Cricetulus griseus: one gene and its partners. The protein of the gene in region 1 purifies or fractionates together with the protein of each later gene. This does not show direct contact. Links are inferred from orthologs where the notes say so. Each region holds a gene or a part of one and is shown in the gene's direction. Other genes may lie near its edges.

What was found. Proteins that work in one complex are often made in the same cells at the same time.
Region 2: the proteins of Myo1c (region 1) and Ddx39b purify together in Homo sapiens (affinity purification with mass spectrometry; 5 studies listed by BioGRID and IntAct, with this or other methods). This does not show direct contact. The link is inferred for Cricetulus griseus from reciprocal best matches to the Homo sapiens genes MYO1C and DDX39B.
Region 3: the proteins of Myo1c (region 1) and Smarca5 purify together in Homo sapiens (affinity purification with western blotting; 3 studies listed by BioGRID, with this or other methods). This does not show direct contact. The link is inferred for Cricetulus griseus from reciprocal best matches to the Homo sapiens genes MYO1C and SMARCA5.
Region 4: the proteins of Myo1c (region 1) and Baz1b purify together in Homo sapiens (affinity purification with western blotting; 3 studies listed by BioGRID, with this or other methods). This does not show direct contact. The link is inferred for Cricetulus griseus from reciprocal best matches to the Homo sapiens genes MYO1C and BAZ1B.

Annotation. Positions count from the first base shown.
Region 1 is NC_048600.1:89,118,052-89,122,324, forward strand, and holds the start of Myo1c (unconventional myosin-Ic), read left to right. Parts: upstream 1-1,473; 5' UTR 1,474-1,676; coding exon 1,677-1,694; intron 1,695-2,872; coding exon 2,873-3,028; intron 3,029-3,109; coding exon 3,110-3,225; intron 3,226-3,678; coding exon 3,679-3,877; intron 3,878-3,960; coding exon 3,961-4,041; intron 4,042-4,273.
Region 2 is NW_023276806.1:231,768,495-231,772,464, forward strand, and holds the start of Ddx39b (spliceosome RNA helicase DDX39B), read left to right. Parts: upstream 1-1,170; 5' UTR 1,171-1,327; intron 1,328-1,993; exon of another isoform or gene 1,994-2,016; intron 2,017-2,070; exon of another isoform or gene 2,071-2,146; intron 2,147-2,484; 5' UTR 2,485-2,609; coding exon 2,610-2,820; intron 2,821-3,368; coding exon 3,369-3,496; intron 3,497-3,705; coding exon 3,706-3,798; intron 3,799-3,970. UniProt on the Homo sapiens protein: Involved in nuclear export of spliced and unspliced mRNA. Component of the TREX complex which is thought to couple mRNA transcription, processing and nuclear export, and specifically associates with spliced mRNA and not with unspliced pre-mRNA.
Region 3 is NC_048596.1:156,511,675-156,515,943, reverse strand, and holds the start of Smarca5 (SWI/SNF-related matrix-associated actin-dependent regulator of chromatin subfamily A member 5), read left to right. Parts: upstream 1-1,469; 5' UTR 1,470-1,879; coding exon 1,880-2,080; intron 2,081-4,269. UniProt on the Homo sapiens protein: ATPase that possesses intrinsic ATP-dependent nucleosome-remodeling activity.
Region 4 is NC_048597.1:114,267,357-114,271,470, forward strand, and holds the start of Baz1b (tyrosine-protein kinase BAZ1B), read left to right. Parts: upstream 1-1,314; coding exon 1,315-1,421; intron 1,422-4,114. UniProt on the Homo sapiens protein: Atypical tyrosine-protein kinase that plays a central role in chromatin remodeling and acts as a transcription regulator. Involved in DNA damage response by phosphorylating 'Tyr-142' of histone H2AX (H2AXY142ph).

The DNA of each region.
Region 1 (4,273 bases):
CCCAAGGGCGCTCCCCCTACCCTGTCTTCACCCATTTTCCACCTGCGGCACCCATTTCCCTGGCTCGCTCCAAAGGGCCCCATTTCCCAGCTGACGCCTCCCGCCTCCCCCACCCCCGGGTTGTGGCTCAGGCTGAGCTGTTGTTCACGAAGTAATGAACCGTCTTTCCCCTCGAGGCTGCAGCCAGCACCTGTCGCAGGCTCACCTCCTCCCCAGGGAGTCCTGGTCCAAGGGGTGGGGCGCTGTGGTGCTTTGGGGTCCTTACTCTGCCTTTCCTCCCTAGGACAAGTCTGTATGTATCCTCGGTATTATATGCTTTAGGTTCTTAACATCAGACGAGAAACAGATAAGGCACTTGAGAACCCTTTGCAAGTGACAGATAGAGGCGCGCGGGGCGGGGGAGGGCTTTCCCGGCTAGACCTCTAAGCGTGTGTATAGAATGAACCTGGCTGGGAGAAAGAGGAAGAGGGTGGTGACGGCTTGGGCGGGCAACCCAACAATTCTTCTGGCAGGTTTTAAAAGCCTCATTTTAAAGAGGAACAGTCTATCTCCTAAGAAGTTATGGGACTCGCTCCTTTTTTTCCCCTTTAGATCTGAGTATGCCACAAGTGGTGGCAACTGAGCCAGAGTCCACCCTACACCTCATACAAACACCTCGGGCCTAAAAAGGGGCTGGTGCCTTCAGAGAGCCAGCTGGAAGCTGTACTGGGGAGACAGCTGATGGCCTGGGTAGAGAGAATGGGGAATCTAGAGGGACCAGAAAGGAAGAGGTAAGAGGAGCACCAGGGGCACTGAGTCACAAGAAGGATGTTCAAGATGGAGCATAAGGGTATTGGTTGCAAATGCAGGGAAGTCAGAAGGTGGCTGCCCATCCAGGAAACTCAGGCCTCTATAGGGACCATACTGCGTAAAAAGAGGGCACGCACCCTGCTGCCAACCCTGGCCCTAGGGCTTGTGTTCTTTGCTGAGCAAGAGACTTTTCGAGAGATTTTTCTCCCGAGCATACTGGCACAGGTGTGTAATCTCAGCACTCAGGAGGCTGAGACAGGAGGATCTTGAGTTCCAGGACAGCTTGGGCTATGTAGTGGGATTTAAAGAATGGAGCTGGTCCTCCCCGAGTGTGTTGTGGGGGTGGACAGTGTCCCGCACAGAGGCTCCGCCTGTCCAGGCGTGCCGGCCGTATTTGGACATTTCATTCTATTTTTAACTTTCCCGGGACTCGAGGTTGGGGGTGGGGAGGGAAATCCTGCTTCCTCGGTGACCCACGGGCTTCAGCCCTGGTCTCTCGCGGGGTGCCTGGCCCCGTGTTGTAGACACGAGCCCGGAAGTGAGTTCCGGGGCCGTGTAGACGCGGCGGCCGCGCGGGTTCCGGGCCCCACCCTGGAACTAACGACGTTCCTCCTGGAAAACCTGACTCAGGCGGAGCCCGCGGCACGCAGGAGGCCCCGCCCCTCGCGCGCCCCCTCTTAGGTCCCGCGCCCCCTCCCACCCAGCCCGGGTTAGGCCGGCTGCAGAGGGACCCCGAGGTCGAGGCTCTGAGCCCCAGAAGCCGCGGGGCCTGCGGGGAGGGGGCGGTGTGGAGGGGGGCGGGCCGGGCCGGCCCCTCCCTCGCTGACGCCGCGGCCAAGCCCCGACCAAGAACGCGGGCAGCGGAGCGGGGCGCCAGGTCGGGCAGGATGCGCTACCGGGCGTCGGTGAGCAGGGGCGCGGACGGGGTGGGGGTCCTGGGTGTCGCTCGGTAGCCTGCAGCGCCTCCTGGGCTGGCCAGGAAGCAGACGCGGCCCAGGAATTTTGGTGGAAAACGTCTCTGAAAGTTGCTAGGGTAGGAGGCCGAGGCCGAGAAGGCTACAGCACGCTCGGACCCAGGGCCATGCGCGTCGCCCCTGGTGACAAGGGGGTGGTAGCTGCAGCTGGCCGTGTTTGGTAGCAGCTTTGGGGTGGGTGGGTGAGTAGTGGGCAGGTGTAAGGGAGGCAGACCCCAGGCTCTTAGGAGTGACCTAAGAACAGAGACTTGCTCCTGGGCAACTAGGGTCAGGGGAGACTTGGTGAGCCCCCCTACTCCCAATATCTTCCTTGACCCTTAGCAACCTCTAGAACCCGCAGACCCTCTTTAAAGGGAAACCTTATCCTTGGACATGGCATGAGGGTCTAGCTATGCTTGTACCTGCCCCACCCTTGGGTGGCAGCTGGGTTTTCCCCTGTTACAACCCCCCACCTCCTGAGGCTTCTCAACCGTGGAGGAACTGTTTGGGTAGCCTAGCAGCTGGAGTGGAGGGAGTGGCTCCAGCTGAGGGAGGGCAGGCCACCCCCTTCTGGGGTGGGTGGCAAATCCAGCTGGGGTGGTGGCCCATGGAGAAACCCTCTCCTGGGAGGTGAGCTCTTGCTTGATCCCTGGGGATTTGGGGTCGGTGGGAGCAGGAGAAATGGCCTGTCCCTGTCTGCAGAATTCACTCTGAACCATTTGTCCTCCAAAGCACCTGTAATACATAGCTGAGGGATTTGAGGTCACCTGAACTAACTCACTCCTCTTCGTGAGGAGGAAGCAGTCCTGAGAAAGGAGAATTGTCCAAGGTCAACACAGCATTCTTTCTGCCATTCCTCAGAACTCCTTCTCCTGGCCCACCTTTCTCCATAAAAAAAACCACACCTCTCTGAATTCCATGCACTTGTTCAGCATCTGCTGGGTCCCTGGCGCTCCTGGAGACTTTGTGCATGCCCCATGTGCCCTGTGTGACCCAGCCATATGTCCCAAACATGTCCTGTAGCCTGTGTCCAAGTGCCTCTGCCTCCCACATCCTGCAGGCGGGGTAGGAGACGTGGCCTTGCTTTAACCTGCAGACTCTGACTTTGTCTGGTGGCTGGTTCTCCACAGGCCCTGGGCAGCGACGGGGTGCGAGTGACCATGGAGAGTGCCTTGACTGCCCGGGACCGGGTTGGGGTGCAGGACTTTGTTCTGCTGGAGAACTTCACCAGTGAGGCTGCCTTCATCGAGAACCTCCGGCGGCGATTCCGGGAGAACCTCATTTATGTGAGAGCTATGGGTGGTGCTGGGGTGAAGGAAGTACCAGGAGCCTTCAGGAAAAGCTGCTGACCCTTCTCTGTCCCCCAGACCTACATCGGCCCTGTCCTGGTCTCTGTCAACCCCTACCGAGACCTACAGATCTATAGCCGGCAGCATATGGAACGCTACCGTGGGGTCAGCTTCTATGAAGTGCCTCCTCATCTGTAAGTGTTTCTCTTACCTTTCCAGGAATGACCTCCCCTAGCATCAAGCAAGATGACCCCACCCAACCCCCACTCTGACATGATTCCTGACCCCTGCCTTGGGTGACTCACTGTTCACAGCTGTGAGGAATCCCGTGATGGTTCACCCCAGAGTTACCTCAGTTCTCAGTAGATGAGACTCTGGATCCTGTCCTCCAGGACCCTCAGGTCGCACCCATGACTTATTCCTTTAACTATTTTAACATGTTCCACCTGGCTAGCACCCCACCTGAAGTGATCCTTTCAGACCTCTATGTGAGAGTGAACCTGGCCCTATCCTCAGCTGTGCAGGTCTACCCTGTAAGGAATTCCCACCCCCCACTCCCCCCACCCCCACATTTTATAAGCATGGTCCGATCAGCTATGGGTGGGACTTCCGCACCCTGTGGACTCCCTGACAAACCTCTGCCCCAGGTTTGCAGTGGCTGATACTGTGTACCGAGCCCTTCGTACTGAGCGGCGGGACCAGGCAGTGATGATTTCTGGGGAGAGTGGGGCAGGCAAGACAGAGGCCACCAAGAGACTGCTACAGTTTTATGCAGAGACCTGTCCAGCTCCTGAGAGGGGTGGTGCAGTGCGGGACCGGCTGCTGCAGAGCAATCCTGTGCTGGAGGTGAGGGGATGGTAGCAGCATTTAAGGAGAGGGCAGGACAAGCTGAAAATGCCAGGCTTCCTCACATTCCCATCCACTCCCAGGCCTTTGGAAATGCCAAGACCCTCCGTAATGATAACTCCAGCCGGTTTGGGAAGTACATGGATGTGCAGTTTGACTTCAAGGTACCTGTGGGTGTATTGAAGCATTCGGAGGGGTTGGGTGTGCTGTTCAGTAGGTTCAGTATTTGTTGAGTATCCACTATGGGCCAGGCGCTCTTCCCGCTGCTGCTGCTCTTCCCGCTGCTGCTGCAGTGAAATCAAACAGATCTTGTCTCCTGGAGTGACAGGTGATAAGCAGAAACGCAATAATTTAGGCTTAGCAGAAAATAAGGTAAAGGTTGGAGCTGCTGCAAGT
Region 2 (3,970 bases), on another chromosome or scaffold:
AAACACAAGCCTTGATTTGCACGACTTTGCTGTGTTGGTGCAAACATCCTTTGCAGGCTGTAAAGTAGAAGTTTGACTCAGTTGGGGGGCTCAACGGGGATAAACCTCACTATGTTACTCTCCTCAGTGCTACTACGTTAGGTTCAATAAAAGGCCTCTCCCGAGGGGTGTTTCCTGGCCTTTTAGGAACAACAGGAAGAAAGAGGTGGCCTAGAGCCTGCCGTCTGGCTTACTACAAGAGTTCCTGGGAACTTCAAAGCCATAGGCCCCTGGAGCTAAAGCATTTCCTACTTTACCAGGGGCCGAGGAATCCCCACCTACTCCTAGGCGGTGGGAGGGGGGCGGCTGTCAGATGCTGAGGGTTGCGGACGAGGGTGCCAACTTAACAGCTGAGTAAAGTGTGCTAACAGGGGAAGCTCGCGCTTATAGTCGGCAGGACATCGCTCCTCGTGTATGCAGCATCTCAAAGAAGGGAGAACCACGTGTTTAGAGGGGGAAGAAGGCCCAGGCTGAACAATGGAGCCGCTGTGGTGGGACTAAGAGCACTCTGCCCTAATTAATAACCATGGAGCCGCGCGTTGGTGGCGCACGCGTTAATCCCCGCACTAGGGAGGCAGAGGCAGGCGGATCTCTGTGAGTTCGAGGCCAGCCTGGTCTCCAGAGCGAGCGCCAGGACAGGCTCCAAAGCCGCACGGAGAAACCCTGTCTCGAGAAAACCGATGATAACGACAACAACTATGGAAAGCTGCGAAGCCCTCAAACGCACCGTTTATTTTGTTAACGCGCGGGCAGAATGCAAACCTCCATCTCCTAAGTGGCCGCCTTGCCGCCGCCATTTGGGGCAGCTCCGCTCGTTCCCAGCGCAGCCGCGAAGGGCGTGCCCGCCCCCCCACCTCCCCCGGCCCCGGGAGCCTGACTGAGCTCGGCACCCTCAGGTCACCTTGGGTGCCAGGCTAAGGGCGCCGTGAGGACGCGTCCCGCTCGGCACGCAGACTCCGCGGTGCCCGAGGGCAGCCTGCGGGGAAAGGACGAAGGACGCCGCGGTGAGGGGGCGGGGAGGTGCGAGCCCGCGTCGCGCTCCGGTCACCGGCGGCGGCGGCGGCGGAGTCGGAAGACCTTTTCCGAAGGCACCCCCGAGCGGGCGCGGCCGGAGCCTCCAGGACCGCCGGCTTCCGGCTGCCGACTTCCGGTTTCCGGCATCGCGCGCCTGCGCCCTGGCGGCCGGGAAGGCGGCAGGCCGGGGGGGAAAAGCGCCCGGGACCGGAAGTGAAGGCAGGTTCCCGCCTGCGTCCCCGCCGCCGCCGCCATACGCGCTCGCAGTGCTTAGGTAAGCTGGGGCCTTGCGCGCCATCCGCCGCCATCCGCTCCGGCCCCGCCGCGCCCGCGCGCGCGCCCCTGATACCCGTCGCCCGGGCGGCGGCCTGGCCGCTGCGGCTCGGTCGGGCGCGCGGTGCCGTCGTTTTCGTCCCTTTCTGAGCGAACCTCGGTGGGGAGCGGGGAGACGGGGGCGACGATCCAAAATGGAGGCCCGGGCCGCCATTGTGTCCCCCGCTTCCTGGGTGGCCCGTGGGTCCCCTTCCCGCGCGGGCCGCAGCGGCCGGAGGCGGCGCTGGCGGGAGGGCGGGCCCGGCGCGGCCCGCGGCGGGGACGAGCAGCCGCCAGGGCCTCTGCTTGCCCGCTGCGGCGTCGGCGCTCCCGGAATGCTCACCTTCGGGGAGGAGCGAGGCTGGGGCGCGCCAGACGCTGTCAAGGCCGCTTGGCACCAAGTCCCAGCCTGAGGGTTGCATTTCCCCAGCTGAGAGCCTGCGGCTTTGAAAGCCCACCCTTGTGGCGAGCGCCTCGCGCGTGGCCGGGCAGGCATTAAAATGTAACTGTCTGCGCTGCCGGCTTCTGGCGTTGTTTGCCTGCTTTTTGGCCTTGAGCCCCTGGCGCCCCTGCTCCCGCGGTTAGGTGCAGCGGGCCCGCCTCCCCGCCCTCCGTCCTTCAGCTCCTGCTCCCCCAGGACTGGGGTCCCAGGTGAGCGCCTCCAGCGCGGCACGCAGGTGCCGCTGGACAGGGGAGTAAGTAGCAGCCACGTGATGTTTGCAATGGGAAGTGAGCGCTCCGCGCAGTGCTGACCTTCATCTATCACCCTTGACTGATGGCTGCTGGGGGGACCAACACCGTGGGGCCACAGGGAGAGCGCAGTCTGAGGTCCCCTCCTGTCCCACGCATTGTCACCCTCCCGCGGGTGGCTTCGGGCTCATCTTTTCACGGTCTCGGGAGTTGCTCCTCTTGGGTCAAAGTGCGAGCCCAAGTCTGTCCAGCAGTCACACCCGAGACCACTCTCCATTTTTTCTCGCCCGGTGTTCGTTTTCTCTTACTTTTCTTCCAGGGCAGAGGTTTGTAGTTGAGGGAGAACACGAAGAAAGTGAGGGTGGGCGAGAAGTCCCTACGTGACTGATGAGCTCTTCTTTTTTTTTTTTTTTTTGTTCTCTCTCCCAGCTCTTCTGTCGGGAAACTGGTGTCTCTTCCCTTGCTGTTCCTCAGCCCCCTCTCTCCCCCTTGCTTTCTCACCTTCTCTGGGACCACTCACCCAAAGACCTCCCTTCTCCCCTGCCGGCCCAATTATGGCAGAGAATGATGTGGACAATGAGCTCTTGGACTATGAAGACGACGAGGTGGAGACAGCAGCAGGTGGAGATGGGACGGAAGCTCCTGCCAAGAAAGACGTGAAGGGCTCCTACGTCTCCATCCACAGCTCCGGCTTTCGAGACTTCCTGCTCAAGCCAGAGTTGCTCCGGGCCATCGTGGACTGTGGCTTTGAGCATCCATCAGAGGGTACATTTTATTGTTGGGCATAGGGACCTCATGATGCATCTTAAAGATGGGATTTGTGTTTAGGGTATATAGGCCAGGCAATGAGAATGTACCCAGATGTTAGCGCTAGAAGATGCTTGTTAGCTTTGATCACACAGGATGCTGTTTGTCCTGTGCCCAGGTTTTCTTGTTTGCTTGATCGTCTTTCTGACTGTTTGGCTGGAGTTTTACATCCAGTATTTTGGGCCAGGCCACCTGGGGTCTTAATGATTGCTCTAAAGTTGCTGGCTTCTGGGGCAAGTACCAAGTCCTTCATTTTGTCCAAGGTTATAGAATGCCAGGCACATGGAAGGTAAGCTGTTGGTAGGTGCAAGAGGGTTTGCGCCAGGGAAACCTGAAGCTAGGATGCAGTTGAGACTTGATTTGGGTGTAAATGTGACTAAGGGGACAGAGAGGATGGGTCAGTCTGAAAAGTGACAGGGACCAGGCAAAATCTGGAGAATCAACTCGAGGAAAGGGGTTTGGTATGGTGCATAAAGTCTCTCTCTTTCTCCCCTTTTTCCTTCTAGTCCAGCATGAATGCATCCCACAGGCCATTCTGGGGATGGATGTCCTGTGCCAGGCCAAGTCAGGCATGGGGAAGACAGCAGTGTTTGTCCTGGCCACACTGCAGCAGCTGGAGCCAATCACTGGGCAGGTGTGTTTGAGGCAGTGCTGCAGAGGGCTTTGAGGCCGATACACTGAAGGCTGTTTGTGGCTACATAATGCTTACAGCAGCAAGGCTTACTGTTTTAAACCTCAGATTTGATGTCACAAATAACTTGACAGATGCTGCTGTTGACAGTCACTCTGGAGAGAGGGTGACAAAGGACTGATAGGGTGTTGTCTCCATTTGTTCCCTTGAAGGTGTCTGTGCTGGTGATGTGTCACACTAGGGAGTTGGCTTTTCAGATCAGCAAGGAATACGAGCGCTTCTCAAAGTACATGCCGAATGTCAAGGTAAGGGTGAGGCGCTTGGGACAGCGGAGGTCCTGGGAGCTTGTGGGGTAACAGTTGACTGTCCTGAGGCATGGAGCCGCTGTAATTGATGAGTTCCTGAAGGCTGCATAGGAGCCTTTAGTACAGTGACAGGCTCTTCTGATCCACAAAGTCAGTTCAGGGGCCCTGGGCT
Region 3 (4,269 bases), on another chromosome or scaffold:
TAAGCTTTTTGCCAATAAGTATGGATTATGAGAATTATTGAATTTAATCATATAGATATGTAAGCATTGTTATATACTAGAAATATTTTGTTTCTGTTTACAAATTTTTGGAGATAAGATCTCATTTAGTCCAGACTGGTCTAGCAGCCAACTGTGGACCCCCTGTCTCCACTTCCCCAAGTGTTGGGATTCTGGGCATGCATCACCACACTGGATCAAAATGGGCTGGGGCTCAAGCCCAGGATGTTTGCAAGCAGTATGTTCTGCAAGCATCCCACCAACTGACCTACAACTGCAGCTTTCAGAAGCACTTACTTCCAGAGAGTTTTTATTAGAGAATTATTCGACTAGTTCAAACATTCGTGTTACATATGTTATTTATTCCAAGAGATTTGAAATTCAACATGTTTTAGTTAACTCTTGAAAGGACTTCATTTATTCAATATTGGTGGCCACTAAGTCATGAATGGGAAGTAGGTGGGTGACACAGGAGAGGACACAAGGCCTCAGAGCCTCCACCACAGCCTAAGCAGAAGCAACACCAATAATTTTTAGAGGCAGGGCTTCTCTGTCACCACCGCCTGGCTAAGAATTTTTTCTTTTTTAGTTTTTGAGACAAGGCCTCACTGTGTAGCCCTGACTGTCCTGGGACTCGTTCTGTACACCAGGCTGGGCTCAAACTCTCAGAGATCCACCTGCCTCTGCCTCCCAAGTGCTGGGATTAAAGGCGTGCGTTACATACTTGACAAACACTTTTTTAAAAAAATAATTTATTTAAATTCATTTTTTGTGCATTGGTGTTCATCTCCTGAAACTGGAGTTGTAGACAGTTGTGAGCTGCCATGTGGGTGCTGGGAATTAATTGAACTCAGGTTCTCTGGAAGAGCAGCCAATGCTCTTAACCACTGAGCCATCTCTCCAGCCCCCTGACAAACATTTCTTAAGCAGACAAAAACGCACATTTTTCTTTGATGCTCGTGGAAAAAATACACGCCATCGTTTGTCCCCAGCTATTGCCATTCCGGATCTCACAGGCTCGCAGTCCATAAACTCTGGAAGGGTGGGATGGCTGATGGGGCGGGCATTTTTTTCTTGGACGTCCGACGTCACTGGAGGGAACCTGTGACGTCTGGCCGTGAGCGACGGCGGCGCGACGGTGAAGGCCAGTCCCCGGGCTGTCGCGCCGCTCCCAGGCCGGCTTCTGTGGCGCGGCGAGAGCCGAAGAGCCGTTAAGAAGCGCCCAGCTCGCGTCACGCACACCTTCGCAAACCTACGCCGACGCGCTTCCTCGAGGCCCCGCCCACTCCCCCCCCCCGCAGTTCGGGGGCGGGCTGGAGGAGGCGGGGCCCAGGAGGAGCAAGCGCATGCGCTCTCGCGATCCGGCCGCTGAAGGGTGGGGGGAGGGAGAGGACTAGCGATCTCGCGAGGGTTGAGAGCGGGTGGCGTAGGCGGCTGTCCCGGTGGTTGGAGAAGAGAACCTACGCGGGGCGAGGAGAAGGCGCCCGGACGCCGCGCAGAACCTTTCGCTTTCCTTTCCCCTGCCCTCAGCCCTCGGTCTCCCCGGAGTCAGCCCGCCCTCCCTGACCTCCGTGACCCCGCTGGCCCCGCCCACCCTCGTCGACGTGATTCCCGCCGTGAAGTCAACGCCGGCGGAGTGGAGCGGAGCCGGGTCCCGCGGAAGAGGAGGTCGGGGCGAGCTCCGCGGCAGGGCCGGCTCGGGTCGGTGGCGGAGCCGCCGCGCGTGAGAACTTCCGGCCGGGGCTCGCTCCTCGGTCGGCCCGGGCGCCAGAGTCGAGCAGGCAGGCCGGCCGGCCCAGGCCGCTTCGCTTCCCTCCGCGCCGCGCCTGCCCGTGGCCGCGGCGGGTGACGCAGCCGGAACATGTCGTCGTCGTCGGCGGCCGAGCCTCCGCCGCCCCCGCCTCCCGAGAGCGCGCCTCCCAAGGCCGCGGCCGCGGGCGCCGGCGGGAGCAGCAGCAGCAGCAGCGGCGGCGGCGGCAACAAAGGCGGCCCCGAGGCCGTGGCGGCGCCTGCGGCTCCATCGTGTGCGGGGGGCGCGGGCCCCGCGGACGCCGACATGGAGGTGAGCACGGCGGGCGGGCGTGCGCGCAGGGAGGGAAGGAGGGAGGGAGATGGATGCTCGCTTGCCCGCTCGCTGGCGCTGAGTCTGCCTCCCTCACCTCTGCGTTTCCCTCCGCGTAGTAGCCTAGGCGGCTCGCCGACCGCTCTTAGGAAACACATGTTCCTGATTACCGTGGTCGAGGGACCCGGTTTCCCCCAGCGTTAGACGCCCTCAGAAGGGCTCTGTTTCCCCCGGATCTGGGTTTTAGTTTGCACTAAACTTTGGGGAAGGGCGAGGGAGCTGGCCCCTTCGCCGTGGAATTCACGGGGCGAGCGCGACGTTTGTCAGCGTCGCACGCAGCCGGGGACTTTGGGCCTCCAGTGCCCCATCCCGGTGCTGGCGGGGGCGGCATCTGTCTGTCGTGGGCAGAAACAATGGCGAGAGCTGGAGGGCCGAATGCGCAGTGGGGATGAGCGGGGCGCAGCTGCCTCTGCAGCAAGGGGAGGCCCCTCCCGAGCCCCGCTCTACCGGGAGGAGAGCGAGCGAGCGAGCCAGCGTGACAGCCGCAGCACCTGTCCCGGATCCCCATCTAATTAGGGGTTGGTGGACGGACGGATGAATGAATGAATGGGAGCATCGGGGGAGGGCGGTGGGCTACTAGCCCAGCGAATTACCTCCTGTTAAAGCCATTCAGACAATTCGCCGTTGAACCACCATCTGGGACTCGAGTGGGCCAGATGATGATGACAATGCTGGAAATGGGGGAGAGGGTGGAAAAATGGGGGAGTTGCCAGACAGGTCTCTTGGATATGCTCCCAGGCTTTGAGTTGCCTGGGAACAAAGATACTGCTTCTAGTTTTTATTCTTGGCCTTGGACTTGTTTTGTGCTGTTCTATAGTTCAGTCTGAGAATTTCTGCACTTATATTGGAATAATACTCTAAAGATGAACCTTGCTGCAGAATTTACACTATAAGGAAATGATGGTGCAGTTGCATCACTTGGATGAAATAATGTGTTGCTAGTCTTTGAAATCACTTTTAGTGTGTGTGGGGGGTGTTAGTGTAGTGCATCAATTTGAAGTGAAGTTTCATTTTAAAATGTATTTGATGCCAGGCAGTGGTGGGCACACCTTTGATCCCAGCACTCCGAAGGCAGAGGCGAGCGGATTTCTGAGTTCGAGGCCAGCCCGGTTTACAGAGTGAATTCCAGTACAGCCAGGGCTACAAAGAGAAACCCTATCTACAAAAACAAAAAATGTATTTATGCCCCTTAAATAAGATTTTAAGTGGTCTTTTGAACTTGTAGAGTTGTTTAACTGGATTGTTGGATTTCTGCTTGAAGTCTGGACACCAAAAACATTGAAGGAAATTATTTGTAAATGTACAATTCACCCCAGAGAGATGCACTTGCTTGCCTAAGCTTTGCAGATTCTGCTCTGCGGTAACTTGAGTCACACATTTCCACAATAGGTGTCATTTCTATTTACAAGTCCTAAAGAGAACTTAAAACCCAAATGAAATTAATTTTTGAGTTTCTGTCTTTCAATTAAAATTTAAATATAGGCATGAATAAGATAACACCTACGATATGAAATAAGTGGTATTTTCGTTCATCAGAGGAGAAAACTGCGTCTTCTGGATAGAGCATGTGACAGAAGTGTGATCTGTTTCCATAATAAGCCTTTTCCACACATCTTGGCCTGTCATTTTTTTAAGTTTGACGATTTTACATATTGAAAAATATCAATAGTTTGTTTTTCTCAGTCGTATTCACTCATTTTCTTTTCTATTAATGTTGTAGTTAATTTTATTGTCTTTTTAAGACTATTACCTTCAGTCTGCTTTCCACTGTGTTAGCTGAATGTAGAATTAGAATTAAGTTTGAGTTTTGGACACTTGCCTAATGTATCTGATGACCTTAAGTAGTTTTTGCAGTTAGAAAAAGAAGACACTAAATTATGAAAGTAATGTCTGCAGTTGGAAAGCACATATTATTGTAGGGTGTGCTTTACCTCTAATGTGTGCTGACAGGGATTTTGTAAGTTAAACTAGGTTGGAGGTTTTGTATTTCCTTGTAGCATTTAAATGTCAGGACGAATGCATTTTTTTTTTGTTTTGTTTTGTTTTGTTTTGTTTTTCGAGACAGGGTTTCTCTGTGTAGCTTTGAAGCCTATCTTGGCACTTGCTCTGGAGACCAGGCTGGCCTCAAA
Region 4 (4,114 bases), on another chromosome or scaffold:
ATTATTTTACATGTCAATCCTAGCTCCCACTCCTTCCCCTCCTCCCCTCCCAACTAACGTTCTTTAATTTTTCTTTTTTTTAATTTATTTAACTCATTTATTTTATGTGCATTACCGTGAAGGTGTCAGATCTCTTGGAGCTGGAGTTACAGACAGTTGTGAGCTACCATGTGGGTTCTGGGAATCAAACCCGGGTCCTCTGCAAGAGCAGCCAGTGCTCTTAACTGCTGAACCATCTCTCCAGCCCCTTCTTGCACACATTTTAAAAGAAACTTCTACATTACCCTTGCCTGTAATTCCTTAGAAACAGGCCAACTGCTAACACCCGTTTCGCGACAACATCGATGGTTGAGCGAGATTGGGCTCCCAGTCGCCCTAAAGCCTAACGTTTGGGGAGGGCCTCAGTTACTTCCCGCCCAGCACAGCTCCACCCGCGTTTTCCCGGGCGTGGCCGAGCACGGCCCCTTTAAGAAGGGGGCGGAGCTCGAGTGGAAAGACAAAGCCCCTGGCCGCGCGCTCCCCCTCCCCCTTCCGGCGCGCCACACGGACAGTGGGTGCCCGGATGTCGGTGTCGCCGTCGGTGACAGATGGCGCAATGTCTGTGTCTGTGACAGGGCTTTCTGCTCTGACTTCTTGGAGTCCTCCACCTTCGTCCTCCCCCCTTCCTCACTGTGCCATTACTTTTTAAGTCCGCCACTGGAGGCGGGCACGCCAGTCACGGGCTCTTACATAACGTGACCTTTCACCTCTCCAGACTGCCCTCTAGTGCGCCGCAACCAAACTACACGGCTGGGGCCCGGGGGGCGGGCCCGGGGCGCGGAGCGGCAGCCGCTCTGAGCCAATAGGCTGTGAACGGCGACCAGCCCTCCGCCTGTGGGAGCGTCCGTCCCAGGGCGCCACGGAGGAGCAAGTTAGTGTGTGCGCTGGCCCGGCAGCGGGGGGAGGAAGGGAATCTCCCGCCATTTTTCAATAATTTCCTCCCGTGCCCGCTAGAGAGGAGTCGTGACTAGAGGCCGCCGCGGCGGAGATCGGCGTGAGGTGAAAGCCGCCGGAAGGAGCGAGGAGAACCTCTCGGTTTCCTCCCCTCGCGTCGTCCCTCTGGCTCCCATGGCCGTGGCGCGGTCCCGCCAGCTCTGAGGGAAGCCGGAGTTCGCGCCGCCCTCTCACCCCTCCCCTCCCCCATCGCCCCGGGAGCCAGGCGCTTTGCTCGCCCGCCTGCTCGCTCGCCCGCTCGGAGCCGCCGGGGCCTAGCTCTGCGCGGCGGAGCGGCCAAGCCTCCGGCGCTCCGTCCCCGCCGCCGCCGCCGCCGCCGCGATGGCGCCGCTGCTGGGCCGCAAGCCCTTCCCGCTGGTGAAGCCGCTGCCGGGAGAGGAGCCGCTCTTCACCATCCCGCACACTCAGGAGGCCTTCCGCACCCGGGAGTATCCTTTTCCTCCGCGCCGTGTGGACGCCCGGCCGCGGCTGCGCAGGGCGAGCGATGGGGATGGCGAGATGCGGACGGGCCGCGCGCGGCTCCGGGGCAGCTGTCACGGCACCGGGCCATCCGCGGGCCGCGGTGCCCGGGCCCTGTCTCTCCGGGCCGCGATGTGCGCGCCGGAACCCACCCGGCCCCGGCCGTCTGCAGCCGTCCTTCCCGGAACCGCGCGCCTCCATCCTTTCCCTCTTACTTTGTCCCCGGGGCCGCGGTGACGATCGCAGCTCCAATTCCCTCCTCCCCAACTTGGCCTCGGGCCCTCAGTGACTAGGGGAGGGAAGCCGGGTTTCCGACGCGCATTTTATTTCTCTCCTCTCATATAAATGAAACCGTCAAGTTAAGTTTTTGAAATTGTACCGGCGCGGCCGCGTGATCCGGCTTGCACAAGCCTCCACTGCGTCTTGTCTGCGCTGTGCGGGCATACCGGTGAGGGTTGTGGGTTTTGTTTTTCCCCTGCGGAGTGGACTTTAGGCCAGGGATAAACTGACAGAACCGTAAATCACAAAACCTGGCATTAACTTCTCACCCACTGAATGTGGGAGGGAGCTGAAAGGTACCTTGATGGTACTGGTGCCCTTTTCTTTTCCAGAGAACAAACAGGTTTGAAATTTAGAAGTTTCATTTTTCTTTTTTGATAGAATGCTTTGTGTAGATTAGACTGGCCTCGAACTCGGTATACAGTCTAGACTGGACCTGCATTCCTGATCCTCCGGCTTCCTCCTCCCTCCTCTCCAGCTGTCTTGCTTTCTTTCCTTCTTTTTCTAATCTATTTATTCACTTACTCATTGATTGATTGATTGAGACAATTTCTTACGATGCTCACTCTCTCTTTGAACCAATTGCATAGCTCGAAGTAATCCTGCCTCACTCAGCCTGGTCAACCTTACAAGCCTGTGCCATCAATCAGTACAGTTAAAAGTAGGAAAAATACTGAGACATCCTTAACGTTTTTGTTTTAGGAATGTGAAACTGATGCTTTAAATTAGGAAGTCTCTGCATTTCTAATCTTTGCTATGATTTCTTCACCAAGCATAGCCTGTTAATTAAAAGTCGTATCTCTTTTTTGCAGGGTGGGGGAAATGTCCGATGAATCTTTTAAGGCTTATTCTTTGTTTTGTTTTGAGAGAGGGTTTCTCTGTCTAACACCCCTGGCTGCCCTGGAACTTGCCCTGTAGACCAGGCTGTTCTTGAACTCACTGAGATCCACCTGCCACCACCGCCTGTCAGCTTGTTTTTTAAAAAAGAAAGGTTTCCGTATCAAACTTACATGTACTGCTACTTTTATCATCCCGTTTCCTTTGAAAAGACTAGACCTTTGTTGTGATTTCTGCTGTACCTGTAGATCAGAAAGGGTTCTGGTGAACTATTTCAATTTACTCTTGGCCCTTGCTTCATTCACATTTAATTTTCTTGTAGCTTGGGATGACTTCTAACTTATGTTTTGGAAGCTTGACCTTGAATGCCCAGTTCCCCTCCCTCAACCTCCCAAGTGTGGGGATTGCTGATGTCCACCTGCTCAGCTTCATCTTGGCTTTAACGTAGTGTTTTGAATCATTAGGATAATTTCACTCCCCTTCCACTCCTCCATATTGGGGGATTGCACCTAGGGCCTTGCACCTACATCCATAGCCCTCTGTCTTTATTTTAAGTCAGGGCATCATTAAAATTACTGAGGCTGGCTTTGAACTTTTTGGTTCAGGTGATCACCCCCCCCAAAGCTGGGCTTATAACCCTTAACCCCAACAGCAGCCAGGACACCTTCATTTTAGTTAGCATCAGTTCTGAATCATAGTGTTCACCTTAATTTTATCTGTATGGATGTTTTGTCTGTATGTGTATCTGTGTACCATTTGTGTTTCTGGTTCCTCTCGGGAGGTCAAAAGAGAGGATTGGATCCACTGGAACTGGAGTTACAGATGATTGTGAGCTGACATGTAGATGCTGGGAATTGAACCCAGATTCTCTGCACTTAACCTCACTGTTGACTATAGCCGGTGTAGGCTTTTTATTTTTTTTCTCTTTTTCTTTTTCTTTCTCTCACAGTATAGCCCTGTCAGGTCTGGAACTCATTATGTGGACCAGAGTGGCCTTAAACTCACATAGATCTGCCTGTCTCTACCTCCTAAGTTTTGGGATTAAAGGAGTACACTGCTGATGCCTGGCCTCCATGTAGGTATTTTTGATCAGGTATGCCGTATCGTCTCTGAGCTGAAATGAGTCTTAGAGGTGTCTAGGTCTCCTGTCTGCTTGCTGAGTGGGCCTGAGAGAATTGAAGTTGGTGTGTTAAAGGTCATGCACTCTGAGTGTAAATGATGAGAGTTGGGATTGCAATCTAGTGCTCCTTCAGCCATGTCATTGTAAATAAATTAAGGGAAGAACAAGGAATTGTGATACCAGGGATGGAAACCAAGGCCTTGCATGTGCTAACTTAAGTGCTAGCTGTACTACTGAGCTGTAGTGTCTGTGACACAGCCCATGTTGTCCTTGAGTTCTTTAACTCTGCTTTAGCCTCCCAAGTGAGGGGTTTCTGGTTGCTAGGATTGTAGTCTTGTACCACCATGCCCCAACTCCTCTTTTGATTTAAATTGAATTAATCTTTTTAAAGATTTATGTATTTTATGTGCATGAGTGTTTTGCCTA